2 linked regions of the Schizosaccharomyces pombe genome follow. The protein of the gene in region 1 interacts with the protein of each later gene in a biochemical or structural test. Each region holds a gene or a part of one and is shown on either strand. Other genes may lie near its edges.

Region 1 (16,024 bases):
ATTGTTCAAGTTTCCCAAGAAGAATGAGTTACTCATCAAAAGTAAAGTGGGAAATAAATGGACTTCACATGAGAATATTTCGGTATCGTGTGGATGATGTACTTTAAAAATAATGATAATGAATCCTACGAAGTGTTTATGAATACCAACTTTGTAGTAGTGAAATTTTATCACAGTAAGCAGTAGATGAGGGTTTCACACTTGCGACTTTGAACTCGATTTGGAAACGGTGGTGCTTTTTGATGAAGAAGAAGAGGAGGATGCCACCGTTTTTGTAGGTTGTCTAGCGGACTTTTGGGAGGAAAGCTCGTCTAGATTATAAAATTCTTTTATTTTTCTGAAATAGTAATTAGCAATTAGTGTTTCCAGTAGTACGTATGGCAAAGTAAAATTTGATATTACACTTACGTTCTCCACGGTGTGGCAGACACATTGCAGGAAAGATGGTTCTTTAGATCGCGCAGATGCATATTTCGTTGAGCGCGAGGAATAGCGGCGATACGCATTTCTCCTCGCATACGAATTGTTGAAGCAAGTAAACTAGCGTTTGAGCGCAAACGTCGTACTTTATCGGAAACTGAAAAATACCCGTTAACACTTTACTACTTCCAGGTACAAAAACTTACGTTCAAATGCTAAATTTTCAAGTATATCGTTCTTGTGTTCTTGGAGAATTCGCTGTCGTACTTGACGATGTTTCGTCTCTCCAAGCTCTTCCACTCTTTTACGCTTGTTCATCATTAAGCATTATAAATTATCAAAAAACAAAACAGATGTTTGCTAACAGCTGATCAAAAGACGGTACTTCTGGGTGCGCTGAAAAGGTGGTGGGAATAAGAGTTGTTGTATAAACAATAAATCTTCAACTAATATGTAAGTAACATCGTTACCTAATACTCAATATGTAAACAAACGTTAGAAAGGAGAGGATTGCACAAAAAAGCGTACCCAAAAGATATTTTATAAATTGAAAGAAGAATAATGACCTAGAATTAGAAAAAAGCAGCAAGTTTACAAAATAAAAGCGTTGAAACACATCACTTTAAAAGGTACATAAGAATTGATGATGCTTACTTCTAAGTAAATTATTAATAATATCAAATAAAAAAATATTGTACGAGGTAAAAGTCTCCCTCTTCAACTACATCGCATACAACATTGAAAACTGTTTAAAAAAGATATTTGGTATAACGTGTTCCAGTGCCATACGCTACAATGCAACCTCTGTTGTATTATATTTCGACTGTTAGCTTTTTTTTAACCCAATTCATAAGAAAATAGTTATGCCATTCAGTTAGTGACATTATCATATGTGTACATAAGATTATATATTCGTTTGTGACAAAATGCACTGCAAGCCGTCCTCACTATTTGCAATCCTGGAAAGATCGACAATAATCGTTATACACATTTACCGATATGTAAAGAATAGCTGCTTACCATTGGTAGTCGCTAGCGCCTGCGGAGTTACAAACCACCTAAACCAACCAACCGACCAACGAGACGAATATACCGTAACGAGCAGAATTTTGATTCCTGAGATCCTCCCAATAGTTAGAGCAATTGAAATAAGAATAGTCATTTTCCAATGAATCCATATGAGCCGGTCGAGGGGCTTTACGTGAATGCAAAGCAATACCATCGAATTTTGAAACGTAGAGAAGCTCGCGCAAAGTTAGAAGAGAGATTGCGTGGTGTGCAGACTACGAAAAAACCATATTTACATGAATCAAGGCATAAGCATGCTATGCGACGACCTCGTGGTCCTGGTGGCCGATTCTTGACTGCTGACAAAGTATCAAAATTGAGAGCGCAGGAAGCTGCAGAGGCAGCTGCTAATGGAGGAAGTACAGGAGACGATGTTAATGCCACAAATGCCAATGATGCCACCGTGCCTGCAACCGTTTCTTCTGAAGTGACTCACACGTCTGAAGGATATGCGGATAGCAATGATTCAAGACCTAGCTCTATCTCCAACTCGTCTGAGTCTCCAGCTCCTATCAATTCTGCCACAGCATCTATGTCTCCTGCTAACAATACTTCTGGAAACAACATTACTTCTCCAAATGTCAGAGGCGAGCTAGACATGAGTGGTAATATTGCCATGTCGGGTGGGCCCACTAATACCGCTTCCACCTCGGGGCCAGTGCCTCATGATATGACAGTGCTCCCACAGACCGACTCAAACACATCGAATCTTATGTCCAGTGGTTCTCAACTAGGCAGTTTTGCTACAGCTTCTACCAATGGCAACAACTCTACTACTACTACTACTTCGTCAGCTGCTCATCCAGGGTCATTTCATAAAGGTACTAATGATTATTCATCTACACTAGCTGGAAATGAGCATAGTGCTTTTCCTGGTCTGGATGTGTATCACGATGATAGCGTGTCTGCAGGTGCAGCTTTTATACCACACAATCCAATGGATTCGATTGATCACCTTGATGTCAATGATCCTACAGCCACAGGTCTCCCTGTACTACCAGCGAGCGATATCGATCCTCTTAATTTAACAGGCAATACCCAAGATTCTATGATAATTGGTCAGCAAACATATCCCTCACACGGTTCTTCAGGAACCATGAAGTAGTCAACTAATTAAGGCTGAGAGAGATACAAAACAATCACAAGACTGTGTATAGGTTGTCGACCTACCGACAAAGTTCAATTTAGGACTGCAATGTTGTTGGTGATTTTTTGAGAAAGAAACAAGTCGAAATCACTCAGTCATGGCCTTTTTGCATATCATATTATACTCATTATTTTTTTAGTCACCGATTTATTATCCATCAATTTGTTTTGACTTTTTTCGTTCTGCCCAATTTTTTTTTTTTATTTAACTCATATCCCTCCTGCTGTCTTTTTCTTATTCCAATAATATTTTTTCTCCGACCTGATTCTTCTGTTATTGTTTTTTTAGTGTTTTTTTTTCTGTTTCTTTCAAACTTTGATCGTGCAGCTTAAGCTCTTTCTTAAATGCAACAATACATTCTACTGTCTCATGTCATGCTTTTGACTCTCTTGATCTACATCAACCTTAATTAGTGACATTACTTACCAAGTAGCCAGCGTATCCCAACCAGGCTAAATAAGGAATTAACCATTTGGAAGCCGTTGGTGCAAGAGGCCACCATGTCTTTGCAAGCCAACCAACAAGTCCCGTCAAAATGCCGAGATCGGCAAGAGCCAATTTTGGTTTTGCTAATCCGTAGAACAAGGGCATCCAAGCAAAGTTAGCGGCCAACTGTGCAATGTATAAAATGGATCCATTTCGAGAGGCATTCGTAATCATCAAAGGGTCAGCCTTGTACGCCAAATGGGATGCATATCCCATTGTTAGGTATAGTAGTGTCCATGCTGGTCCAAAGGCAGATGCAGGGGGGTGGAACTTTGGTTGCTTTTTGTTCTCATAATCCTTTCTTGGCTTGTAGGAATTCCCAATGAACCAGCCGCAGGCGACTGGAACGAGAGAAGCGGACCACCAATTTTTGGAGATGCTAGTGAATACTTGATAGTTCAAATCCATCACACTTAATAATATCGTTTACTGTTGATTAGCGAAATCGGGAAAAAAAAATTCCACGAATGTAAAGAGTACTAACAACGACTGCTACTAAAAAACCATAAGTATTTCGAATCTTAATGCAGCTCGTTTACAAACAGCAGAGATAATGTCGAGATACAAAAGGTCTTTCAAACCATGCTAAGCAAATAGACATGGAGTAGCTAGAGTTAAGTTTGATAATTAAAACTGACATACATTAAACTAGAAATTTGGAGAAGAGTTGTTGAAACTTCTAATTGAATTGAAGATTAGTAAAATTGGACCATAAAGCTTAACCATCTTTCAATCTTCCATACATTTTAAAAACGGGCACAGTATCGATATGAGAGAAATACGATACTAAACTAAAATAAAAGGAAATACTTAATTGTAGTTTGATCTTGGAAGCTACTCGAATGTATAATTCACCATATTTATAACCTCGTCTATTACGTCACAGAAGGGAAGGAGGAGCGAGGTATTGGGGTATAATACGTGTTCATACTGCGTAAGGTGGTGGTAGATGTGTCTCGCTAAAAAGTGTTTATAAGGAGTTTTCCATAAGATAATATTTTCAGTACAACTAAATTTTTTATATTATTAATATTATATTATAAAATTATGTATATCTATTAGTAGCAGCGCTTGTTTTCTGTAATAGAATATATTTGGGCTGGTCAAATGCGGTTAATTATCATCACACAGATGAGATTTATGGGCAAATTTAGTTATAAAATTAGATAAGACAACAAAGAGAGAAGAAAGGTTTATTTCGGTGCTTTTGTTTCTTACTTTCAGAAGAATCTTTCTCTTGGGCATTATCTGGATGTCTTACTGCCCACAGAACAAACAAACTGTCATTGAATGGCTGAGTTCTTGTTTCAATATCTAATATCGCTATACAATAGCTCTCAAAGTAATGCACCACTACTACAACTTAAGTTCTTCACTTTTTGAGTAAGGATGCAAACTATGAGACCGGGTTTTTTTAGCTCAAATGTCGCTGAAAAGCGTTTTCTTTATAGTTTTATCATGAATGATCTCATATATTGATAAGTAGCAATCGTGTCTTTCCATGTCGAAGCCTCAAAACATTATATCCATATAATGCAAAACCATTTATTCCACCACTTCTAATGAAATTTATAAGTTGGTAAAATGTCCGTATTTCAAATTGCTTCTCCACAATATCTTCCATTTATGAGCAAACGATATTACCTCTATATTGTCAAGTTAAAATGTTTACATTGATATATTATATTAAACTATAACATAACTATATTACCTTATAAGGCGATTTCTGCTGGATGCAGTTAGTGAACAAGAATTATCTGAGGATAGACCTCTAATTGCAGTCAGAGATTTACTACAGATGATTATACAAGAAAAATTTAGATATATTTTTTAAGCGATGTAATTTATTGATAGTGACATGAAAGTAAGCCAACCCTCGAAACCCAAATTTACCACCATTATGCTCTTGCTCTATCAATTAAACACAAAATTAACGACACGCTTTTCATCCTTATCTTTTTATAATTGCATTGTGAAATAAACTATCATTATTCTATTTAACGCAATGATAAACTTCGCAATCAGGCTTTACGTTATGGCTTTGCTTCCGTGAATTGTTCCCTACGCGAATCCTGCTGAATCCACTAAAAGATCCAATGCAGCTTAGCTAGCGAACATTAGCGCAGCGATCAACTGACATAAGATATCTGGGTATGCCGACGCTTCTCTTTTCCATATCACAAAAATGAGTTGGCATGGATTCAAAAAGGCCGTTAACCGAGCGGGTACCTCGGTATGTATTTGAGTGTTGAAGAATTGTCTAACATTGTGGTAGGTTATGATGAAGACGGGTCATGTTGAGCGAACGGTGGATCGGGAATTTGAAACAGAGGAAAGACGTTATAGAACTATGGAATCAGCTGCAAAGAAGCTTCAAAAAGAAGCCAAAGGTTATCTCGATGCTTTGAGAGCCATGACTGCGTCTCAAACTAGAATCGCTAACACAATCGATGCATTTTACGGTGATGCTGGATCGAAGGATGGTGTCAGTGCATACTATCGACAAGTCGTCGAAGACTTGGACGCCGATACCGTAAAAGAGTTGGACGGTCCTTTCCGGACAACGGTGTTGGATCCCATCTCAAGGTTCTGCAGTTACTTTCCCGATATTAATGCCGCTATCACGAAGCGTAATCACAAATTACTTGATCATGATGCTATGAGGGCTAAGGTTCAAAAACTGGTCGACAAGCCTTCCAACGACACTACTAAGCTTCCCCGTACCGAGAAAGAAGCAGCCATGGCGAAGGAGGTCTACGAGACACTCAATAATCAACTGGTCAGTGAGCTTCCGCAACTAATTGCTCTTCGTGTGCCTTATTTGGACCCTAGCTTTGAAGCCCTTGTCAAAATTCAGCTCCGCTTTTGTAGGGAGGGATATGAGAAAATGGCTCAAGTTCAGCAATACTTTGACAACTCTGTACGCGAAGACTATTCCAATGGTTTGTTGGATGATAAAGTTGAACAAGTTTTACAGAGTATGCGGGATCTTTCCATCGCCGGTTTGAACAACAGTCAGTAGACATCGGTTTTTTAAACACGATTGTATGTGTGCATAGCGCTATCACTCTGTTTTCTCTTTCCTTTTCTCCTCCGAAATAATTGTTACTACACGTAACCATGATCTCTTATCCCTCAATACTTTTTGTTTAACATATCCTTTCTCTTTTACTACTTTATTACCATCTTATCTTGTTTATCTGAAGTGGTTCACGGAATGTTTTCAATTTATTCAATTTTTTGTGATACATAAATATTTTCCATACTTATCTATCCTCGAGTATTTTCTATTGGTGTTACTGGAATTGAAGGGAAAGCCAGCACATATTTATTAAAGACTCAACTGTGAAGCTTCTACATCCTTTCAGTTTCGTAACGTTTCCTTTATAATTTTTTAATTGGGAATAGTTATCAAATTATCAGATAAACAAATTGGTTTTCCAATATTGTCTGTCGACCCAGCGATTCATCTACTAAACTGTGCTTATTTTCTATCTCGTACCAAGTTTTGTTCTAATAAATAACTATTGTTAAGTAAGTTTAGACCAAATCTTAAAATATAATAATTAGAAAAAAAAATGCTTTTGTTGACTTACGAATTATTAATTTGAATTGTAATTTATTAATTTTCCAAACAATAGCTATCTTGTAAGCTGTAAGTCAAGTTGGAAGTGGGTTTATTTCTATCTGTGCAGCGTTCGATGTTTGATTTTCGAACATGGACTTAAGCGTTCAATTTTACAATAGCTGTGAATGTAGATTATCGCTACTTTAAAATCTAAAATATAGTATGGAGCTACAACTGCTAGTAACGTCTATACAGGAAATGATATTAACCAAAAATCTTTCTGACTAAGAACATAAATTTAGTAATCTAATTCTGGAACCTCCTGGTTAGGCGCATCCAAATCTTGATAAGTTCTATAGAATTCCCGTCTGTGGATCATGGGTTCTTGCCTCGAATAAGATTTTTGTGATGATGCTCCAGAAGTTATCTCCTCGTCATTTCGTCGACTATAGCTTGTTGTTGGAAATGTATAGTTTGCGTTAATATTTCTGAAACCAACGTAGGGCTTGTTTAAAATCTGTAAGGATACATACGACGTGCTTACCACTTTGGGATCCATAGCCCTACATGGGTCAAGCACATATCCATAGAGACATATAGCCACCTTTTTAATGTGATCCAACCAATCCTTATGCTTTTTATTTATATGCTTTCTGACAAACTCAGGTCCTAAGAAAAGCTTCGCGCATGTTCCGACATGACACCTATATTTTTGTTCATCTTCTTTCATAATAACAGAGTCCAATTCGTTATTAATAAAATCTTCAACGGGTAATGCCCCTTTTGCTTTAATATCCACATTTTCAGGCTCAAGAAGGCAAGCAAAATTGTTTTCCAAATCTGACAACCAAATATTTTCTTCTTGACCGACTTCTTTGGATGGATTAAACTTTTTCCGCGAGTAACCTGCAGGACTATCCTGCAGTAAAGCAATTAAACTTTCGTACTCTTTACTAGTCCAGAAATCAAAAGTAGCCACTTGGCGAAGATACTCGGCGTACAGATCACTTAAACGAATGTCATGAAAATTCGTCGGCTTATCATCGTCATCTTTCATAGATGCATGTGTTTTCAATCGATCTTCGATACGTTGTGCAGCATCATTTGGTAAACTATACTTCGTACTAGCCCGATCTATAAAACGGATTAGTTTTTCTAGCAAATTTTTACATGTCTGCTCAGAAGAAGCGATTTCAAAAATAGGTATGGGATGCGTGTGAGTAGGAATTTTTGGATTTTCAGATTCAATAGTAAAATTTGAATCCAATTGAATCCCATCCACCGCTTCTTTAGCTCCATCCATATTTGTTCCTGCTTTGAAATGAACCCAAAGTGAGCGTTCATCATTCTTGATTAAATTAATAGTAGAAAGGGAAAAATGTTGTACGAACGAAATACCATCGAGTGCATTATGAATTTGCGCAACCGAGATGTTGGGCAAAACATGACTGACCAATAGTGTATTTTCCATTGCATCGTTTCGAGAGTCTTGGTTCCATTTGGAAAGTTGCGGGTCGTTAGAAGGAAGAATTGAGTCATCTGTATCATTATCAGGTATTGACGGCTTTTCGATTACATCCTCAGCGGTTGGAAGCTGAAAATCATCATAATAACCGGCGTCTAATCTGTCCATGAATTTATCGTATAACGCCCGGCGATAAGATTTCTCATTTTCAGACACTTCAAGGACTCTTCCTTGTGACTCGTCCACCCAATAGCTGTCTTCAAACCAAGCTTCGTCACAATGGCTCTCAACAAAACTTCTTGCGGTCCTAGCGTATAGATCCTGTTTATAATTGTTGTAAGTTCCATGAAGCGAGTTGTATAAGTCTTCAGTTGTTGCGGATATATGGTTTTCCTTGCTATACCACCGAATAAACCGTTCATAAGAAACCGCATTTGTTTGAGTATATGGATCAATTAAACTAGTCTCCTTGTTAGAAAACTTTGGTTTTTCACTCACATCGAGTAGAGTATTTATTTAGTCGTAACTTACGGTTTAGTAAATGTAGGGTAAGGTCCAGAAGCTAGACGTATTGTAGTTAATAGGTCAATTCATAGAATTTTATATTTATTCTTACCTCTTGTTCTATCATCATAGTAATTACCACGCTTTCGTAGAGGAGACCGTTCTCGATGATACGCAGACTGTTCACCAGGGGGGCTCTGTGAACGTCTTTGACTCCGTTCTATGCAAAAAAAGGATGAGTATTTCTATCAAACTAAACATTAACAACTTACCAGGAGAGCGTTCTCTTTTCCAACGACTGTACTCTACTTCACTTTCTTGATGGACCTCACTCATATTTTGACACTGTTCCCCTTCTATAAATACCAGCAATCGGGATTAATTTATTAAAAAACTAATGATTTCAATTGGGTCAAAATTGGTACTCAACCTGCTTAGTTGAAGAATGTTCTTACGAGAGAGAAATATCCATACAGCACTTTATGCTGGTACACTAAGTTTCATTATTCAAAATATAGAAAATTGTCAAATACTTTATTATACGCATCAGTATATCTAAATAAACTGAGATTATAAAAGCAAATGATTAAACAAAAAAGTGAGACTTCGAATTTTATGCGAATGCTATTGAACAATTAATACTAAACATTGTCTCATTATCGTCAATAAATACAATGTTGGATTACTTAAAAAACTGTGCTTACAAAGAGCTTAGAAGCACTCTCACAAAAGTAAACAATAACATCTGTTTTCAAATCACTGAAGATCTAATTTCCATTGTATAAACGGTCAAGAAAGGTACAACTTGCATACCAATAGTAACTTTGGTAGCATAGAGTAAGATTTCTTTTACTTTTGTTCTCTGCTTCAGATATTGAAGCGTAAGTTATCTCATTTCTTGTGCAACAAAAAAAAAGTAGCTTTTGCACGTCCTCTAAAAGATATGCCTCAGACAAAAAATTTAAAAAAAAAAACAACCAAATAAATAATAACATGAAAAATGAATTAAGCACGTTTGCTTTAAGAGATTTATTCGAGCTCAACACCGGGCCAACCTTGGAGATCACTTAACTGGGCTCGTATATAACTAGTGTTTGCTCCAGGATAGGACTGAGAGGCAAGATCAGTACTTTGGAATCCAATCAAAAATACTTTGCGAAGCATTTCCCAAAGTTCCTCATTTGATTCGCAGCTCTCCATTGAGGTAGAACTGTTTTGTATAATATCAATTGCAGCAAGTAGATGTTTTGCAGCATCTTCAAAGTATCCTAAATTGATGTTGGAAACAGCCATGTTTGAGCGAACTCGAACATACTGGGGCTGTAGAGATACTGCCCGATTATAGGAAGAAACAGCTTCAGTATTTTTTTCTGCATTTGTTAAAGCAGCACCAAGCTTATTCCACAATATTTCGTTACTTGGTTCGTCTTGAAGAGCTTGCCGAAAACAATCTGCAGAACGCTCATACTCCTTCAACATATACATAATTATTCCTAATCCAGCTTGTACCTTGGAGGAACGCTTCTTAGCAAGTGATAACTCATAAGCTACATCCAAGAAATACATCTGCATTTTCAAGAGATCGTTAGCAGAATCTTTCTCTTCAAACCTTTCGTTTATCTTTGCAAACCTGTTTCGGTATTGGGGAAAACTGTTGACTATCCAGTCTTCTAAGCAAACCAATGCCTGAACATTTAGAGACTGATTAACATAAGACACAGCAAGATCCATCATTAAGTCAAGATTGGTTGAATCCAATTTGACAGCTTCAAGTAGGGCTTCAACAACCCGCGATTCGTTTCCCAATAGAGTATGAATGCGACCTAACCATTTCCAGGCCTCGAAGTGCTGTGGATTCTCTTTCACAGATTGTTCCAATAACACAGCTGCTTTCGAGATAGATCCTCCATTTTTTATTAAATTCATGGCTTCAACAAATGGATCTATTCCGTTTAGCTCTTTCACAACCTCTGAAGATTCATCTTGGTTCTGTGAATATACATCTTCCGTTTGTAAAGAGTTTTCAACAACGTTATCAGTATCGCTATGCTGGAAAATTTGAGGATCTATGTTTTTATTATGAGCTAAATTATCATTAGCAAAGCTATTCACAGACGAAGTGTAAGGATCGTCAGAAATATTGTTTGACTTTAAAAAATCTTCCCATTGTTTCTGGTATTCCTCTAAACTTGCGGGCTCTAGCCCGGCGTTTTTCAATTGCTTTTGATGCTCTTCCCATAGCTCCTCAATTGATTTACTTCCAGTAGCATCCTTTTCCTTCTCTAATTTATTGGAGATTTGAGAAGCTTCCTCAAATTTCTTAGCCAACTCAGTTTCGTCAATAGCTAAAGAACTTTGTAAGGGTATTTCAGTATTTGAAGATAAATTTAGTCCAGCGGAACCAAAAAAAGATTGTTTTAAAGGTTGGTTTAAGTTTCGAAAACGGTCGTTTTCAGATGAATTGAGAAATACTTCAGAGAATTCTGATGTCCAAGCCGACTTACTATTCTGCTGCTGAAGAGAAGAAAAAGAATGTACCCAATTTTCTTTCGAGCCTCCACGAGTAGTTGTGCCGGTATGATTTCCAGTTTTTAAGCTAACTGGGTTCTTAACTACATTACCTAAAGGACTATTGTTTCCTTGGAGATTTTTGAAAGATGTGAATTGATCCTCAGACAGCGTTTGCAAAGGAGCGTAAGTACGACTTTGAGACTTGGTTAAATGTTTTCGATATTGAGCTGAAGGTGTTGAATTATTGACAACAGCTGTGGAAGTCAATTTCTTAAGAGGATTAGATAGCGTTGAACATCCTGCTTCAACAGACATTTTTGAAGAAAGTAGACTATAGCCAATATAAAGGCTCTCGACCAAAAGGAAATAGTTTTTTAAGTAGGTTGTAAGAAAATTAATATCAAAGAATGAAAAATTTCGCAACTTGATTGAATTTGCGATGTGTTTTAAAAACCAAAAATATGAAAACAAAAAAGCGGAAGAAGTAACGATGCAACTAACCAAAAAACAAAAATTGATCGCACCAATGATTGTTACAAAACTTGCGTATAAACTCAGGCATGTATTGCTGCTTATTACCAATTACAAAAATATTTAGATGAGTGCGCTCAGTTCATGTAGATGCTGAGCGTAGCACGTTAGATTAATCGCTTCTGTAATACACCACATTAACCCATATCAATTTATAATAAAGACTTTCTCTTTATTTTTTCAGACTAATCTATTGCCACTAAGGAATTTAGATTTCAACATTTTATTATACTTTTGTAAACCATGCTGCATATGTTAAAACCATAGCTTTATGATACAGAGAAAAAAATCCATATTATTTCTAAGTTCTTTTCAAATTAGTGTGATTAGAAAGTTAAACCAAGGGTTGGATTGAAGTATTAACTCTACATCTATTTATTCACCTGTTGTCTAAATTACAACGCCAAATGAATTAAATCACCAAATACTTCTGTCGCTCACAATAAAATGTATTAAAAAACTAATTAATTTTCGCTAGTCAATATTCGCTGTAACAATGGTTTTGGTTGTTTTCTGCTTAATACCAATTGATGCCACCTACAGTTCACATCCGACAAATATTTGTTAAAGAACCTGTCGCTAATTAAAGTGCTAAAAATCGCTCGTTCAAATTGTGATCTCATTATGAATTAGCATATTAGTTGGCGAATTTAATAAAGCCAAGTAATAAATTGATGATGTTATAATAACGAAAACATTGTATACAACAACAATTCCGCTTCATAAGTAAAAAAAGGTATTTAAATTATACGAGTCTTACAAACTATTAAAAGTCTTTGCCGAAAAACTATCGCGTAAGAACCATTTGCATTGATTTTACACAACTTTGAATACAATTTCTTTTATACCAAGAAGCTTAAAGTGTTCAATTATGATAAACAATGACTAATCCAGAGCAATTGAAGAGGATACTTTCCCACGAAGTTCTGCTGAAAATTGAAATGTCAAAAAATGGAATAGTGGAATATGCCAATCCTGCATTTTTTGAATTAATCGGCTACGAAGGAGATTTATTTCAATGTAGTTTCTATGAGTATCTTCAAAGCGATGATGAACACTTAATGAAGAAAGCAACCGATAATCTTTTCAGAAAAAGCATATCAGTTGCACATGTCTTTGCTTTTCTCAGATGTAATCCAATACGCAGTCCTAATTATTATATTCAACAAGCCAAAGCTCCATTTGAGGGAAAGACGTATATTAGAATGCTTTTTCGAGGCATTCTAGTAGACTCATTGTATGGTAAAGATACAAGGGTTTTGTGGGCAGGAAAATATTTATATCCACAACGGTCCGTGATCAACGAAATGGATTTCATCCTGTTTAACACGTTAGGGATTGGTGCCTTCATTCTTCATGATCATTTGCTCGGAATAATCAAATACAATTATATACACGTTCCTCCTCCTTCAGGAAAATTATGTTCGTTGTGTGAAGATAATTTACCAGAGTGGTACTTTGAGGTACATAGCGATTTTTGCCTTGTTTGGAATGATCTCGTACGCCGCGTTTTCGCCGTACAACAATTGATAAATTGTAAGAAGCTGGAAATAGAAGACATAGTTAACAAACTCCCTACGGGTAGTAATCATATGGTTGAAGAAACCTTTCTTTCCTTGCCGGTCATAACAGTATTCAACGGGAAGAAAAACAGAAAACAGAGGTTTCGCATTCGATCATGGAGAAGCTCTCTGAACTTTTTGGTTAAGGAACTGGACAAATCCATTAAAAATTTTGCTTATTTAGAACATCGAACGTTTTTGACAATTTCAAATTCTGCCGCGAAAGACATGAAGCGAGAGATTTATGAAAAATCATTGGTGAATTGGGAGTATGATTTTCTTGTTCCCTCAAAGATCCAGGATTATTTTTACGATGTTCATTCACTTCTTTTGAAAAATTTATCGTCTAAAATAAAACTCTGTAATCACATTTTAATGTATCAAGCAACGTTTAATGAAGTTAAAAATTTTCTTCAAACGTACTCCTTGAATATGCTATCAATTGAGATGGAAAACATCGAAGGAAGTCTGTACTTTGGAAATGCTCAATTGTCCAATCTAATTTGCGTAAACCAATACCTTTCCGAACAGAGACCAGTGTTTTTCAACAGGCTGTTAGCCCTTGGGAACGTTGAAAATAATAATTCAATTTACGATGACATCCAGAAACGAACAGAACGTATATCTACCATAAAAAGACATAAAAAATACTTTGAGATTGGAGAACGCTTAACAGAAAAAGACTTAATTGTGTCTAAAACCTTTAAAACAACAAGGATAGATTATTTTAAAGCGGTAAAGGGATCAATTGAAGATCTGGATGTGAGACCTCTAAAAAATCGGCAGAAATTTGTTAACAAATTCTATGCCTCGATCGTTCATTTTCTTACCGAAAGTATGCAGTTCCCAAGCCATAATGATAGGAGATTTGGGGATAATACTCCTCACTCATTAGACGAGTTCATACTTTTAAAAGAAATAAACAGAGGGGCATACGGTAGGGTTTATCTTGCTAAAAAAAGATCTTCAGGAAAGTATTTTGCTCTTAAAATGATTCCAAAATCCAGTCTTGATAGCTTAAAAAAAATAAAAGGACTATTGCTTGAAAAGCGTAACATGCATATCCAAAGATATGGACCAAACACAGTGAAATTATATTATGCATTTGATTCTGGGGACTACCTATGCCTTGTAATGGATTATTTTAATGGAGGAGATTGTGAAACACTTATTCAAAAATTAGGACCGTTACCAGAGCAATGGGTTTGCCAGTACGCAGCTGAATTACTAAATGCTATCGAGCTTTTGCATCAGGATGGAATCATCCATCACGACATAAAGCCTGCCAACATGTTGGTTGACGAAACAGGACATATTCGGCTTACAGACTTCGGACTGAGTGAAAACGTAGAGGAAAAAAAAGAGGTTTATAAGCTTACTAAGAGGATGTCATTTGAACAGAAACATGGAAATTTGTATGAGCAGCTTCAACCTAAAAAATTCGAATTTGTAAGATATGTTCGAAATTACCGCGGGAATATTGATGAGCTTGAGAAAGCGGAGAGTCCACAGCAAAATAGTGATTATGCCAATGACTCGGTCCAGCATTTACTTGACTTTGATATCAATAACATGGATGAAACAGCAATACACATGTTAATGAATCAGTTAGAGAAAAAGGAAAACCGGACATTCATCAAAAAAGATATTTCAGGGACGCCAAATTATATGGCTCCAGAAATTTTAATGGGCGTTGATACTCAGATGGGCGATATATGGGCGATGGGTTGTGTGATATTCGAAATGTTGACTGGCACGCGACCATTTGAAGCAAATACTGTAAAAGCAATATGGGCTCGCATAGAGAGAAATGATATTGGTTGGACTAAAAGAGTGAAAGAAAGCTGCTCAAAGGAGGCGGTAGACTTAATCACCAAACTCATGGATCCAGACTGTAACAAACGGCTGGGTAGCAATGGATACCAGGAAATCAAAAAACATCCTTTTTTTCGAACCATTAAATGGGATAATTTAAATAGTGGGCCAGGTCCGTTCGTTCCACAAACAGAAAATGTTGAAGATTTGACGTACTTTGAAAAAAACATAAGCGGTTCGGATAATATTAATAAAAATAATTGTCAGACGTCAGCAACTTTAATTCTAAATGGTATTTTTGCTTTTCATCCTCCTCCAAAAGCAACACCAGCTGACAGTGGTACTGAAACCTCAAACTCAGCTGCTTTCTCTGCGTCCGAGGAGGAGACCACAAATTTAACAGACCAAAAACGAAAAGATCTTTTTTCACTAATAACCAAAGCGTTTAAGGGAATAGACTTAAAGGCCCTTAATTACAACAACAAAGCCACGCTTTTGCGAATGTATGATGAGGTCGATTTCCCCAAAAATCAACAAAGAAATAAAGAGAAATTTCGAATTCAGAAACGACCTAACAAAAAGTATCGCTACCATTTATTTTAACATCATGTAAAACCATAGACATAACATGTTCGCTATCCAGAACGAATCATGATAAGTTGAAAAATGGTTAATTAATATTTCCATACAGAAACAGTAAAAAGACAAATAAACTTGTTCTACAAAATCTTTTATTCTGAGGCTTTAGCCAAATAATGCTTCTAACATAAGTTGATGTTTCCTCCTTGAATCCAAATATTATTAATAGTTGAATTTCATATATGAAAAAAAGCTATCTCATTTCACTAAACGTTTCAAAGGATGACATTTCCTATACGACAGAACATTTAAGAGGACTGAATAGTTTACGAATTGAAGTAAGTTAGAACAAAGTGTTTACCGCATAT
Region 2 (16,024 bases), on another chromosome or scaffold:
TATGAAACCAATATATATGTATATATATATATAAACTCTTTCCTCGAGCTGGAACAGGAATCCCCTTGTTCCCTCCTACCTTTATTTCGTTTTCAACCTTCTAACCTCGTTATGGTAATATTCATTTTCTAAATGTACTGCCTAGTTTCTTTCATTTGTGAAGCGCTTATGAGCTCAATATCTTGAAATATATTTTTAAAATACAAAAAACGGAGTTCTTATTAGATCAACATTACAGCACTCATCGTGAATGGTATAGCTTCGGCAGCGTAATATGTTACTCGGGCTACTTCGTCAGCCTCCTTATCCTGTACTACATTAAGTAAACAGCTCACAACAACTTAACTTCTTCACAACACACTTGCTTTTTTTGAGTAATTTCAACTGATTTGCAATTGACATTTCCATTGTTTTGTTTTTCTTTGTTGCATTTTTTCTTTTGCAAAGCTTTATATTTGTATCCATTACTTGAAATCTTGTTGGTTTCTAAATTCCTTTCTTTTTTTCCGAATTCATTTTTTCAAAGACACTACGCGGTTGCTTGAAGCTGAAAGAGTTTGCTAATTGCTTATTTCAATCTGCTTTTTGAATTACTCTTGATTAAAGTACAAGTCTTCACTTTTTTTTTCGTGTGAGCGTGTGTGTAGAATTCTTCTTGTTCTCAATTTTTGTATCATGAGAGTTTCTTGGATTAGCGGTCTCTTATTAGTGGCGCACCTGGCTCCTTCCAGCGCCTTCAACCCTTTAAGGTTTTTCCTGGATGACACCTTTTCAAGCGGTGCTACTGAGGAACATTTTATGGGCCCCTCTGATGATGGTTTTGCGCTTCAGCAGCCCACCAATTATGATCCTTCTATGCCATTTCCTTTAGATGAATCGGCATCAGCCGCTGTGGATGCTGTGTCTAATAATTACATTGTCATGTTTAAACCTTCTGTTGACAAATCGAAGCTTGAGCAACATCATCGTTGGATTGAGCATTTACACGAGAAACGATCCTTAGATTTTAAGGATGTATCTACCTTTTTAATGAAGCATACCTTTGAAATTGGAGACGCTTTTCTTGGTTATGCTGGTCGTTTTTCTCCTTGGTTGGTGGCCGAGTTGCAAAAGCACCCCGACATTGCCCTTGTTGAACCTGACCGTGTTATGCATGTTATGACTGAACAAACTTTTGCACCTTGGGGTTTGGCTCGTGTATCTCATCGTAAAAAACTCGGTTTTTTTACCATGACTCGTTACCAATACAATGAGACTGCCGGTGAAGGTGTTACTGCATACGTTATCGATACTGGTATCAACATTGAGCACCAAGATTTTCAAGGCCGTGCCACTTGGGGTGCCACCATTCCCACTGGAGAAGGCGAAGTGGATGATCATGGTCATGGCACTCACGTTGCTGGTACCATTGCAGGAAAAACCTTTGGTGTATCTAAGAATGCCAAACTTGTTGCCGTTAAGGTAATGCGAGCCGATGGTACTGGTACCGTATCAGATATTATTAAAGGTATCGAGTTTGCCTTTAAGCAATCTAAGAAAGACAAGGAATCAATTGCAAGTGTCGTCAATATGTCCATCGGCGGTGATGCAAGTACTGCTCTTGATCTGGCTGTGAATGCCGCTATTGCCGGTGGACTTTTCTTTGCCGTTGCTGCTGGTAATGATGCAGAGGATGCTTGCGGTACCTCTCCAGCCAGAGTTTCCAATGCAATGACTGTTGGTGCTTCTACTTGGAACGATCAAATTGCTTCTTTTAGCAATATTGGATCTTGCGTTGATATCTTTGCTCCTGGTTCTTTAATTTTGTCTGATTGGATTGGATCTAACAGGGCTTCTATGATCCTTTCTGGTACTTCTATGGCTTCTCCTCATGTCGCCGGTTTGGCTGCTTATTTTATCTCTCTCGATCCTTCGCTGGCTAATCATCCTGTGGAGTTGAAGAAGTATATGCTGAAGTTTGCCCTAAAAGACTTATTAAATGGCATTCCTGAGGACACACCTAATGTCCTTGCCTTCAACAATTATGAGTAAACGCTAGTTATGTGTATGTAAATGTTAGCTTGATGACCTTGATTGTTTATTTTTTGATGCTCCGATACGAATGATCAATTAACCAAGTTGTTGAATATCTACTGTCATCAGACGAACAAGCTCAGAGTAATGACATTTGTTATGTTTAGCAATGAAATCATTTAAAACGATACCAATTTGTTCTTTTAGGACTGATTTTTTTTTGTAATGTCAGGTATAGTAGAATTTTATTTCATTTTCTTATCTACTACTTTTTGCACTATTGTTATCGTTCATTCGTACTAGTAGTAAATATGTAGTTTGACAAGTATGGTATATCACTTGGTAAAAAAAAATGCCTTCTGGATTCACCGTTATAATTTTGTCTTATACCGCTTATTAAAATTGATTCCCTTACCACCAACAATTCGTTTTACAGTTCAATTTGTATTGTTCCCCTATCCTCTCAGCTTGATGATTACAAATATTTGCTCAAAGTGGATGCTTTAATTTAAATTTTCATGGTAGTTCCTACTCCATTTTACGTTTTACGTGGTCATTCTAGCAGTGTCACTAGTGTACTTTTTGACGCTAATGAATACTTATATTCTGGTGATGAGGCAGGTTTTGTAATTTGTTGGTGTCTTACTAGTATGCGACCAAAATGCGCCTGGAGAGCTCATACAAAAACCATATTGGGCATGCAAATAGTCAAGGGAGGAGCCTTATGCACTCACGGTAGAGACTGTCGTCTCGTCACTTGGAAAATCGATTTTAATTGCATGACCGACAATTTTATGTCATTATCAAAACTAGCTGAACTTCAAAATTACGGTCCTGAAGCCTCTTCTGAAACTGAGAAGAGCAGCGCATTTATATCTATTCATTCCAATATCGTTGTTAATTCCCTAACCTTTTGCCCCTTCTCTTACTCTCCTCAATCTAAAATAGTAGTTTTATGCAATACATTGAACTTTGAAGAGCTTGATGTATATGATGATGAATCATTGTATCATCCTCAAACACACAAAGAGGATTGCGGAAAAAGACTACAGACGAGAATTCAGCCAGAAGAGTCTGTTGGTAAAACAGGATCAGTAATGTCAACCTCAGTAACCGTTACTGACGAGAAGTATGTACTATTAGCTGCCGGTTACGAAAGCGGTCATGTGGTTCAGTACATATGTTCATTAGAAAATGTAAAGACTGTTACCCTCGATTTTAAAGCTGTTTGGAAGATGGTTTACGCCTACAAAAGTCATTCTCAACCAGTTTTATCGGTAGAGTACGCTGGTTCCAAATTATTTTCAACGGGTGCTGATGACTGTATATGTCTGCATCCTACTCCTTCATCTATAGCTGATGATCTTGGTAGTCTGCCTCATCCTATATTTAGAAAGACAAAGCATTGTGGACAACAAAATATTCGTATACGAAGTGATAACAAGATATTAGCAACTGCAGGATGGGATGGTCGAGGTCGTGTTTACAGCTGCCAGACATTAGCTCCTTTAGCGGTTTTGAAATATCACTCCGATGGTATTAATAGTTTGGCCTTTCATCCAGGCAGCAACGTGATTGCGTTAGCTAGTAAAGACACCAGAATATCTCTCTGGAAGTTGTATTAGGGCAAAAGTTTAGGACATTACAGTTACGTTTAATCCATCATCATTTTCAAGAAATCATTTACTTTTGGTTTGCAGGATTCAATTCATTCTTATTACAATACGCGCATTTTTATCAATAACCATTGAAATGATTTTAAACGTATTACATATATTAAATATATTAAATATCAGACTAGTAAATGCTTAATCTTCCAGTATTTTGATATCGCCTCAAATAAGATGAGCGATTCATATGCAAGCATAGAAAGTACGAAAGACATAATTCTAACCTGAGCTATATTAAGTAGTGACATTAGTTTTATAACGGCAAAGAGCCATTGTTTATGTATAGTGATGTTTATAGTACAAGGACGTAATTTTGACGGTCAAAATTTTTACAGTTAGTTTGATGTTGCTTGGCAGTTTCAATCTAAATGGAAACCTTTGCAACAGGAATTGTCATTCTCTCCGACTTCCAAAGATTATGATATTCGACGATTCGAGTAGCAACATCGACGAAATCGGTGTTCTCATCGGTATTTTTCATGACTATATCTAAACCGGATTTATAAGACTCTTTCTCAATTTCATCATTTCCTTCGATGTACCTTGATAAATCTTGTATAATTTCATCATCTGTATAAAGGTTAGTCAAAAATCAACAGCACAAATACCATAACCCGTCATTTTAATGTCGCGAAAATGCGACGCCTCGCAATGGTCATCATTACAAACACCACCAGTGGTTTCGTATTTACAGAAAACTTTCATCGGCTCTATCTTATTGCTGTAGGTAAGCGACCGATATTTCAACGGTACTCGCTCAACAAATTGTTGATTAAATCGATAAGATTTAAAGCGGTAAAATGGAGAGATATAATCGACAAGCGGTACCTTATCCTCAAAATCTGTTTCCGTCGTCCCATTTGGCGCGTTTGACGTTTTGGAAGACAAAATCTGTGATGAGTTCTCATCTGCTTGGGCGGAAACCTCGGTTATTGAGTCCATACTTAAATCAGATTCTTTAGGTAAACATGCAACATTTCCTTTCCCTTGTTGTTCGAGTAACTGTTTTTTCCTAGTGTACAATTGTGTTAGAATCTCAGTTTTTGATTTCACCAAAGTTTGATATTTTGTTAGTTCTCCTTCCTCTTTTTCTATTAAGTTATTTAAAATGTCAATCTCGGATTTTTTAATCTGTGCGGGATGCTCTTCATGTACCACAGCAATTTGTTCCGTCTTTCTGAGCCAAGGTGCCTCTAATATCTGCTCAGTTGTATCAGAATTCGTAGTTGCAGCACTAGACGAGGCTCCTGACGAGCTAATAGAAGGTCCAGCCTCCACAAAATCGGCTTTGGAACTAAGATCAACGACTTTTTCAAAGGTATCCAAGTGTGTTTTAGATTTGTTGTCAACCGCAGCTACAGGGACAGATGGAAGTTTCATATCGGCGGCAGAAGTTGGCGATCTATACGGTTTTTTATTAGACTCAAGCCGTAAGATCAACTTTGTCATTCGCCGTATTTCCTCTTCTTTATTGCGAAGAAGCGCCAAGTAATCTGAACGAGACATAGTAAGACCATTTTCACTATTTGAGGGGGGCTTTTCTAAATTAGATTGTTCTATCTTCGAATTCGAAAAGTCATCTCCATCATCATCGGAATCAAATTCAATAACTACATTTGGAGTCGAGGAGCCAAAAGGCTTCGAAGAAGATAGCCAATCGTCCTGCTTCAAAAGTGGTAAAGATATAAGATTTTTTCTTTCAGGAAGGACGGTAGGTGTACCATTATCGCCAGGTAATATATGTGTGTCACTAAGATTACTGTCAATCTTACGAAGTTTAGCAGACCTAGCAGCTTTGTCTGCAGATAGTGTCAGACTTCCTTGGGAGCTAGCAGAAGAGGAATCCAGTCCGAGCTTTAAAAATAAAGTATGAACAACCGAAGGCTCGATGCCCTCAGCAATAAAATCGTTAAAGCGCACTCCTACTTCAAACAACTGACTCACAGCTTTCTCTGCTTCCTTTTGATTAGTAGTCTTGGAATAATTTGCATCAGAATTTTTAGATGTTGAAAGAAAAGGTGATTTTTCTGATTTTGCCTTTTCACTCTTTTGATAAGAAGTGTCGGATGATAAAGCCAATGGTCGGCTAGTAGCGGTATCTTTAAGAGCCCGGTTTTCTTTAAATGACTGGGAAGTATTAGAAGAATCCGATGTTTCAGAAGACTTCGCCTTATTTCGGTTGTTGAATGAATTCTCAGATGACCGTTTGCGCTTCGAAAAGGTTTTGTTTGAGGAGGCGGTTTGAGGAAAGAAAGGAACTGTATTTGGTCCAAACATCAAAGCTGGAGGAAGCATAAAAGGTGCGCCAAATGGAAAAAAATTCGCGTTAGTTCCAGGAAATCTAGTGTGTTAGTTAGATAAGACACCTGATGGGTTGAATGTATTCAAGTTCGAAAAAAAAAAAGGAAATTTTACAAATTGTCATTCTCGTAATCCCAAAGTTGGAGTTAAACCGTACAGAACAGCATAACTAGCGGAGAATAGCTCCGTAGAAAAGATAAATAAGCTGCACTGACAGGTTTAATCAAATGCCATGCTTACCTATCAAAAGGAGGCAACTGAGGAATTTGCTCAGGAAAGGTTGGTACTTTCATTGGCGGAACTAAACTGTTAAAAAAACGAATTCATTTAAACGGTGAGAAAATTGAAAAGATGGATATCAAAACATAATTTCCAAATACATATAAAAGGCTTCTGCCAGCTTTATTTTTCTCTCTTTAAAAAAAAAAAAGCCACGCATATAAATAGAGATATGAAATGTTCTAAACGAATGCAAGCAATCGTCGAGGAAAACTCAATAAAATGCGAACAAGCCTATAAAAACAAAAAGTCTCGTTTCACAATATATTTGTGTAAATTTCCATCTCTAATCTACCTTACCTGAATTTGATTGATCTATAACAGGATCGTCTTCGCTAATTTCGCCATCTTCTTTGTCAGAGTCATTACTCTCATCTTCTTCATTCTTCTTTTTTGATTCTAAAGCCTTTTTTCGCAACTCATCGAGATTTATTGACCGGGACATTTATTTACAGCTAAAACTGGGTTAGTAGTGCCAAATTTCAACAGCAGATGTTTTGTTTGTAGTACCAGTTAAGACAGTGAAACGCGAAAAACATTAAATATTATTGCACATAAAGTTTTTTCACCTCAGAGCATGTTATTCCCTAATAAAGATATTGATGGTTGAATACTTTCTTATTTGTTCTAATGAACTGTCTGAAATATGCACTAAGACTCTTTATTTACAAAACATTCGGAATTAGTCTATTGAACAGGTATACTGAATGTAGCAAATATATTTTCAAACAATTTTAAAAAGTAACACAAGAACAGCTAATATGTTCAGCCTTATTGGCTTGCTCATACGAAAAGTGTAGCGGTGATTCAAAGCTTTCGCATCCAATTATCTTTTGCTAGTTTACAGCACAAATTTACGCGAAGGTGAAATAACATTTTTGAGTTATCAAATTATAGCGGGAAATCTGCTTTTAATGGACTAGTCAGTAATTTAGTAGCGGCCGCCTTGTCTCATAAATAGAAACATAGAACATCTGGAGAAGTTCAAGAAAAATAGCGAAAATGAGAAAACTGTGTTTTAAACCTTTGTCCAATAATGATAATGTTTTCTACTAGCATATCCTTCTATGAGCACATGAGAAAAAGAAATATTCTTTCGCTCAGTTCGGTTTTAACGTTGGAACAGTCTTTGGCCTTTATTAAAAACTTGAAGTTCATAAACTAAAAACAACAAAAACATTGTGCTTTATGCAAATTTCGTGTGCAATAAAAGTTCGGGTATCCGTTTATGATGTTTTAGCACGAAAGCCGACTATTGACAGTAACACTGGTAATAGCTCTTTTTACTAAAAACCCTCATCGAAAAGGTAGTTCCGTATCTGATTACAAGGCCGATCGTGCAAAAATACTAAAGACCGAGGAATATGTAATCGTGCAGTTTTATAACATACTCTTCCGTTGCTTAAGTTATTAATCTGAATTTAGTCTGTTTAATCCGTTACATGAAAAATTTAGCCTTTCAGGAGCTTGAAGAAATGATTTAAGATCAAAACGCTTTCATGTAATCACCTAACAAAAATGCTAGATTTTGTTATTATTTATTATTGAAATTCCCCCATAAACCTCGAAATTTTAAGACCGGTCAAGTTATCATTTGAGGCTAACAGGCGGCCTTCAAGCATTTAAAACGAAAGACCGTATTCATAGATTATTTATTGGTAATCTCAATGAGGCTAGTACCTTTGATCTGTTACTACTTGCGAACATACTATTTGTCTCCAAATGTTTGCTGTAGTGTATGCTCGCGCTCCCTCAATCGTTCAGAAAGTTCAAAGCAATGCAATTTCAATTCAGAGTTTACTTTTTCCAATTTTCGAACTCGCTTTGTTTCTCTCATCAACTGCTCTTGAAAAACTGACCGCAGTGACTTTTCGGATTTTGCGTTCTTACCTGGCATAAACTCCTCACAAGGAATTTGTTTTTCTTCTAAGAAGATTTCCTTGTAAGCTTCAAGTTCTAAAATAACTTTTTCAAGATCTTCTTGCTTCATCTGAAGTTCATTTGCTAACATGCGTTTGGATTCGGCCAAATAAGTATACGCATTTTCCAATGAATCGTATACCATCCCCTCCTTGAAGTGCAGTTCAGGTACTACAGCATTATTCTGTAAGTCAATGTTCAATGACTCATCCTTTTGGACAACAATATTTCTCACGTCAACATTTTCTCCCAATAATTTTCTGTTTTTATCCATATCGCGCAGAGCTATGTCTGACATCTCTTTAAATACGGAAACTTTCTCACCAGATGGGGACTTAGTGATTGAGATTTTTGTGTTGTTGGAAATAGAAGATGAATCATTAAAGCTTTTGACTAATTTACTAACCCTTCCTGAGATAGAAGTATTATTTTCGCTTTCTTGCCCTAGTTGCTCAAAGTCTGAACAAGAAGGTGATCTGCAATCAGTATTTACACCGATAAGCTTATCTTCAAGTAACGACTGAAGAGTAATTTTATAATTCCTTAACTCGATTTCCTTCGTTTGGTATTCTTGATCCTTTTGTACAAACTTTTTTGTTATATAAGTCAGCTCATCAGAAAGTGTATGTTCATCAAGATCTTCAAGCTTTGTAGATGGATTAATTCCAGCTTGAGAGCATACGTTTTTGTAAACAATGAACAAAAGATTAAATATTGAAATTCCTTTTCGTACACTTTCGGAAATTTGGGATTCGGTAGCATTAGATGAATCACTTTTAGCGAACGATGGCTCGACAAGCTGTAAAAAAGAATAGAGGTGCTCTTTTTTATTAATAAATGATTGATAAGAGTTTAACAAACTGGCTAATTTGGATTCACTTAACTCCAATTGCTGCTTCAATATCTCATTCTCCTTATTCGCGGTTTCCAGGTGTGCTCTACCTTCAGAAAGTTTGGAGTTTACTGAATTTAACTCTGCATTCTTTTCAGAAATCTCACACTGTAAACTATTGTTAGTTTGACTTAAAGTCTCCAAACTGTCATGGAGCTTCTCAATAGTTAGCTCTTGATCCCTGATTTGGCTTTTTAAAAATGCAGAGCGCCCGATTTCATCGTCAAGATTTCCCTTAGTGTTTTTTAAATCCTTCTGTAATCCATCCCGTTCATCAGTCAAACTAAAGACCGTGTCAAATTGAGAGAGTTGCTCATCCTTTAGGCATTTCATTTCTTCATCAAGTCTCAAAACCTTACTTGATTCCACTTCAAGATTGTTCTTTAATTCATTAAGTTCTTCCATAAGATATTCATTTTTTCGAAATACATTCTCCATATCCTTTATTGACGACTGTATTTGTTCTTGATAAAGTAGATCCCTTTGTTCACTAACAGAAGACTGAAACTCCAATAAGCCTGCTTTTTCTCTAAGACTTTCGGAAAGTCTTGAAATTTTTAATTCTTTTGCTCGAAAATCATCATCATAATGACTAATTAATGCCTCCTTGTTGTTTAACTTTTGACGCGCTTCTTTCATCTCGGTTTCATAATTGGCGTTCATTTCTCTCAGATTTTTTTCATCATTTTTAACAGTTTCTAGAGCTTCTTGCAATGACTGATTTCTTTCTAGCAACGCTTTGATTTGATCCTGTAACTTCTCGGTTTCAAGTTTTAAATCCCTGTTTTGGGTTTGAATTTCATTAATAGAATTTTGAGCTATAGAAAGCTTTTCTTCATAACTGATAGTTTTATTTTCGGCTTGTTTCAAATTTGACGCTACTATACTTAGAGATTTCTGCAACAACTGACGCGCGGCTTCACTGTTAAACTTGTCTTCCAATGCGTTGTTATGCTTGGACACAAGGCACACATACTTGTCGTTCATAATAGAAGAATGAAGTTTGAGCTCCTCAACAAGAGAACATAAATAGGCAATTCGTTTCAGAGATGTGTCACTCCAATCACTATTCGATGACTCCATATCTTTTAGAACATCAGGTAATTCATAATCGCCAAATAAGAATTTCCATGTTTTTTCTAACGAATGGCATCGTCGTAGTTGAATTTCTGTGTTTAGTTGCCTTGCTTGAAAGGAAAAGTTTACTTGAAGCATAACATTGTGCACTTGAAGTAGTTCAGTCAAAGTAGCAAAAGATTTAAATCGAGAAAGTAATTGAGAAAATGTTTGGTTATCTAAAGAAAATTTATAAAGCGTCAAAGTGAAATTATGGCCATCAGCCAGTGAACTGAAATATTTTTTTGCATTAGTAGTAACATTTGGTAGATTTTGGCACAATAGAAGTATAAGTTTAAGCTGAACTGATTCAATCCCAACGTGTTCTTCGTTGCATATGCATTTGATAATTTTTCTACTGCAATAAAAGCAAGTATCCCGCCGAGAAACTTGTAAATCTTTCTCTTCTCTAGCGCTGGAAGCATGATAAGCATTTGGTGATTTTGTTAAAGTTACATCTGCAGTGGTTGATTGATTATTCCCTTCCGATTTAACTAAGAGTTTAAAACTGTTTAAAAGATAATAGGAAGGACTCTTTAGCTTGAAATTCAAAAGTTGACGCGCTTGAGTTGAGAGCAAAGAAACAGGAAATATCCCGTTATGCGTACGCAAATGATTTTCGTGAGTTTCTTTAGTCATTAAGTATTTAATCAAATAAGTTAGGCTTTTCTAAAATATAATTTTGAGCAAGCAATCTACCAATTGTAAGATTTATCAACGATGCTTCTAATTCGAAGATGTAAATCCTGCACTTATAGAAAAGAAATAACGGAAAAAAGAAATACTTTTAACATCAATTAGGAAAAGCATTAAACCTTCAGGTTGTAAATGCACTCAACAATCGTGTTTGTGACAGTGGGAAATGGAGGTAAATAAACACTACAATAACTTCTTATATGGGTGTTTAATGTTCTAAGGTATTCAAAGCAAGGGCGTTAGCATAGCTTTAAAAGATAATAGTAAGTTTATTCAATTATTGAAACACTTTTCAGTCTATTTATTTATAATAAAAATAATGTATAGTTGAAGCTGTAAAGTGATGAACTTTGTCGGTCCAAAGTAAACAAATATTATAGAATACAGCGCTAATACTACTAGCAAAATAAAGTCACCTTCTGAAAAAAAATGTAGTTGCAAAGAAAGAGAGACAAACCTCAAAAATTTAATGAAGAAATATGAGGTCCTTTAATCCCAAGAAGCATTCATGCAAGTCTAAAGACATAAAGTAATTACAAAGCCGAAACAGGTTTATCATTCATCTTCAAATCTTAGGCATAATCTCTGTACTACTTTGATAATTCACCTAAGTATACAGAAACGCTTTGGGGTCAATATACCATCACAAAAGAGAAAAAAATTGAAAAAGACTGATTGTGATCAGCGCAAAAGTTTTATAAAATTATTGAAAGAAACAAACAGCTTTAGAATTCAAAACAGTTTACAAGGGAAAATATTATAGTGCTGAGCTATAAAACGCGTTGATGAAAGCGCTGAAAAAAAAAAAAAAAAGAAAGTTGATCATCAGGACATAAGCATTGGCTTCATATAATTCAATAATGTCACCAATATTGCCAACTTGATTGGCTAACGTACAAAATACATGCAAAATTAATCGTAAAGAGATGTAGAATTATGAGGGAAAGATTAAATCAACCACGAAAGAAACTTTTTTGTTTGCGCAAGCTATAATTTACAAAAATTGCTCGAACACAACCCGTAACAGTTTCCAAACCAGATCAAATGCGTGTATTTAGTATTATCGAATTGCCCGGTTCGAACACTTTAAGCACATTATACCAAGAAATGACCACCCACCCACATTTCAAACGATCAATCATCTTTCCATGAACCGGCAAAGAAATGTTGAACATACGCCATCGGATCATTTGGAGACTTGCTACCCATGTGACCGACACCAGGACTAAATGCAGTTATGGGTAGGATTAAAACATCTCCAACAAGATAAGGTTCTTCTAAATTGGTGATATTCTCAACCGAGAAAGGGCCATACTGCCAATTTAAATAATCCATAATGGCATCGGTCCAAATACCTGGACCAGTCCACTCCATTACTGACTCGCCATTTTTCGAAAGCTTCTTTGAATCATGCAGCTTCCAAGTTTCATCGGTAATTCTACGAACAAGTTCCCAAAGAATTGGATGGCCTGGTGCAGCAGCTATGGTCCACTGACAGAATTGTACACGCCTGGCATAGTAGTCGTTCCAATCAGGGCGGTCGGGATCTGCTTCAATGCCAACGATCAGTCGAATATTACGCTTACGATATTCACGAGGGATCCAATTGTTTATATGCTTCAATGGTGCCGTATCAATGTCGCTATAAATACCACCTTTTGCCAATAACACTAGATACCGAAAGAAATCGGCCTTCAGAACAGGCAGAGGCATCATTGCATACGCTTGTGAAATCTTGGAAACTGATGAATCGCCAAAGCTACTGATGACCAATGCTTTAGACTGCTCATCGTCTAAAACAGCATGAGAATAACTGGGATGGTTGATTCTCCAAAACCGAGTGTACTTCATAACCTCTCTATCAAAAGGGTCCTTGGAAGTTTGCCATATTAACTTGGGAATGTCAGCGTGATAAGGCACCTCAAATTCATAAGTATCTTTAGGAACGATCATGTGTACAGCTTCATTTTCTTCGTCAAAATCTTGAAGCTGTGAAAAGGAGTACCGTAGATGAAGTTTATAATTATTTTCTTCATCAAGTTCTTCCAAGCTGTGTTCCAGCTCTTCCCTCTCCAAATCGCTCAAGTAAGCTTCCAAATCTGGATCTTCTTCTTCTTCAATGTAAGACGGTTGATCATACAAAAGTTCCTCCTCCTCCTGTTGACCAACATAATCTTTATTAGCGGCTTCCGGAGTGTAATCCTCCAACATCGAAATCTCTGTCAAATCTTCCATTCCTTCTATGCTACCATGATTGAATAACAACAGTATGGATCCCGCTATCGCAGCTCCTATTACAATACTTCTCAATCGGAGTCTCAACATGCTGAACTCGTTATATGCTAATGCTCAATGTATCAATTAATTACTTAGTTCGTTAACAAAGACTCATTAATGTGTACTTAATGCAGCTAGGATACAGATTTTGCGGTTTTTCATAGAATCGCAGCAAAACACAGGTGGGCGCTCTGGCTGAGTTTGCGCAGATGCTCTTACTTTAACTTCGCACAAGCGACCCGAAAATCGAAGGGCTTTAATGTGATATTACTCTATAATAGCAACAGCCACACTTGATTGCGGTACCGTGCGTAATATCAGTCCAAGTATTGTCGGCTGTAGTTAACGGTGTGTGTTAGGTGTATGTACACAATAACAGAAAAAGGTTACCCAAAGCACCACCCATAATATAGAAGTGTAAGCAGCGATCCACTTCAAATCCGTTCTTTTGAGTATCCAAGCTGTTTGAATAATTGGAAAGCCGGAGAATTGGCATTAATATACGTACTCCGGCTTCTCGTGTATAATAAGAGGAATTTGGTGAAGTTTCCATGTTCAAATAAGACGACTTGTCTTGTAGAACCTTTTATTGTTGAAAGTAATTGGAGCGTTAAAAAAAAAGGTACTACTTGAATTTGAAAAATATCTTTCTTCTCTTTCTGTTGTTGTGTCGGTACGGACGATTGGTATCAGAAAAGCCCCTTTGCATAGCGCCGTTTTTCTAAAACTTGCGATACCTCGAGAGGGTAGTAAAATTAGAATCAACAAACAAGAAAATGCTTCGCAATGGAGCTCAGAATGGAAATATAAACTCTGAGTCTCATGAATCGTTTGGTAAAGCAGCTAAAGGATTTCGTATTTTTTCATCATTTAGCAGTAGCCAAAAACTGTTCCAAAGAAGGAGTTCTGGCTCTATCACACATTCTCCTACCGCTTTATCATCTACCACATCCCTTAATGAAAATGATGGCAATCATTTTCGTCCTGCATCGAGCCTTAGCTTTTCTCCCTCTTCGCTATCCAGAAAAGATTCGGGTCCTGGAGATGGCTTAGAAGTTAATAAAAAAAATAATTTTTATCGCCGTTCTTCCTCCACAGATGATTTTGGCATTTCTCATGCACGTAGTAGGAAAGAAATACAATCGCTCGGTAGACCCCATACTCGCCAGTCGTTTTCCGTCTCTGATGTATCTAATGGCAGTTCTTATCCTAACATTCGAAAAAATAGCGTCCATGTTAATGCACCCATGCCATCTTTTCCTGAAGGATCAACTGCCGTCTTACTTAAGCATCACTCAGGCTCCAAGTCTGCATCTGCGATTTCGAACATCGCCCCTTCGCATTCCAATTCTACCTCATCTCGTCGCCCTTATATACATCCGGCTTTTCTTTCTCAAGTCGCCGTTGAGTTCCGAAAGCGTCTTAACATCGGTGACCGTGTGAAGGATGGTCTTCTTTATAAAGATGCCTTTCTTGGATCGGAAGCTGTCGATGTATTGATGCATATAGTTCGGACGACTGACAGGAATTTGGCGTTACTTTTAGGAAGAGCCCTGGATTCGCAAAAGATGTTTCATGACGTTACTTACTCTCATAGACTTCGCGACTCGCTCAAGGAAGTTTACCAGTACCGACGTATCATTTCTCCTCCTCCTGGTCTCTCCTCGATGGATTCCAATGGATCGTCGATCGAAAATAACTTTCTCTACACAAAAAGAAGAGCGAACACGTCTGATTCATTTGACTCTGTTTTATCTGATTCTTCTACGACACCTACCATCTCCTCGTCTGTACAGGTAAATTCTTTAGCTTTCATCACCTCATCCCTAAGCGCAATTACTAAGGAGCCTGAAGCTCCTGAAACCGAATACAATCCTCATGGAGTGTTTACTCTTTTAACGGAATGCTACTCCTCTACATGTTCTCGTAATCGCCTTTGCTATTCTATATCTTGCCCACGTCGACTAGAGCAGCAGGCCCGTCTCCATTTGAAGGTCCAACCTGTATTAAGTGGGGGATCAACTTCGATTACAGATAAACAAGAGGAAGATCATCGTTTATGGTCGGAAAATGTTCCTAAGCAAGTTGTAGACCAGATCGATGTCCGTGAATGGAAAAGACAGGAAATCATTTTTGAGGTTATTTACACAGAACGGGACTTCGTCAGAGACCTAGAGTATATACGTGACTTTTGGATTAAGCCTCTTTCAACCTCAAATGTAATACCAGAAAACAACCGACAACAATTTATACGTTGCGTTTTTCATAATATCATGCAAATCCATGCTGTCAATTCTCGTTTGTCAAATGCTCTAAACCGTACTCAAACTCTGCAACCTGTAGTTAACACAATTGGTGATCTTTTCTTAGATTATGTTCCTAAATTTGAGCCTTTTATAAAATATGGTGCCAATCAGGCTATTGCCAAGTTTGAATTTGAGCGTGAAAAAAGTACGAATAGGAATTTTGCGAATTATGTTCATGAAGTGGAAAGATTACGAGAGTCTAGAAAACTAGAACTTAATGGTTATTTGACCAAGCCTACGACTCGCCTTGCGAGGTATCCGCTACTATTAAGTGGAGTTCTTAAGTACACTGATAAAGATAATCCTGATACGGAAAACATTCCTCGTGTAATCGAAATGATTCGTGAATTTCTTACTAAGCTTAACTATGAAACAGGGAAGACTGAAAATAGACTCTCGTTGTTACAGTTAAACGAACAGCTTTCCTGCAGCCCTGCGGATCGAGCAAAATTAACATTGTTTGATCCATCTCGCTTATTGATTTTCAAAGGCGTCGTCAAGCTAAAAGCCAGTAGTTATTCGAATGGGGACACTGAAAACGACATTCACATGTT

The links.
Region 2: the proteins of pir2 (region 1) and red1 are reported together in a solved structure, tested with the Schizosaccharomyces pombe proteins (one study listed by BioGRID).

The regions. Positions count from the first base shown.
Region 1 is NC_003423.3:1,212,479-1,228,502, reverse strand, and holds pir2 (C2H2-type zinc finger domain-containing protein), read right to left. Parts: upstream 9,099-16,024; 5' UTR 8,995-9,098; coding exon 8,931-8,994; intron 8,879-8,930; coding exon 8,771-8,878; intron 8,717-8,770; coding exon 8,686-8,716; intron 8,615-8,685; coding exon 6,988-8,614; 3' UTR 6,913-6,987; downstream 1-6,912. Other genes in the region: GINS complex subunit Psf2, read left to right, coding at 1-27; nbl1 (borealin N terminal domain-containing protein), read right to left, coding at 196-337, 409-577, 627-741; CCAAT-binding factor complex subunit Php2, read left to right, coding at 1,589-2,593; tsp0 (tspO-like protein), read right to left, coding at 2,508-2,534, 3,062-3,529; BAR adaptor protein Hob3, read left to right, coding at 5,307-5,354, 5,397-6,143; peroxisomal targeting signal receptor Pex5, read right to left, coding at 9,688-11,484; serine/threonine protein kinase Ppk31, read left to right, coding at 12,582-15,680.
Region 2 is NC_003424.3:5,067,165-5,083,188, forward strand, and holds red1 (protein Red1), read right to left. Parts: upstream 6,735-16,024; 5' UTR 6,709-6,734; coding exon 6,564-6,708; exon of another isoform or gene 6,286-6,563; coding exon 6,225-6,285; intron 6,025-6,224; coding exon 4,298-6,024; intron 4,254-4,297; coding exon 4,048-4,253; 3' UTR 3,767-4,047; downstream 1-3,766. Other genes in the region: serine protease Psp3, read left to right, coding at 676-2,031; ASTRA-associated protein 1 Asa1, read left to right, coding at 2,532-3,638; protein mcp3, read right to left, coding at 7,972-10,830; Golgi alpha-1,6-mannosyltransferase Och1, read right to left, coding at 12,022-13,212; RhoGEF for Rho1 Rgf2, read left to right, coding at 13,941-16,024. UniProt on the Schizosaccharomyces pombe protein: Promotes the exosome-mediated degradation of mRNAs containing a DSR (determinant of selective removal) signal sequence from mitotic cells.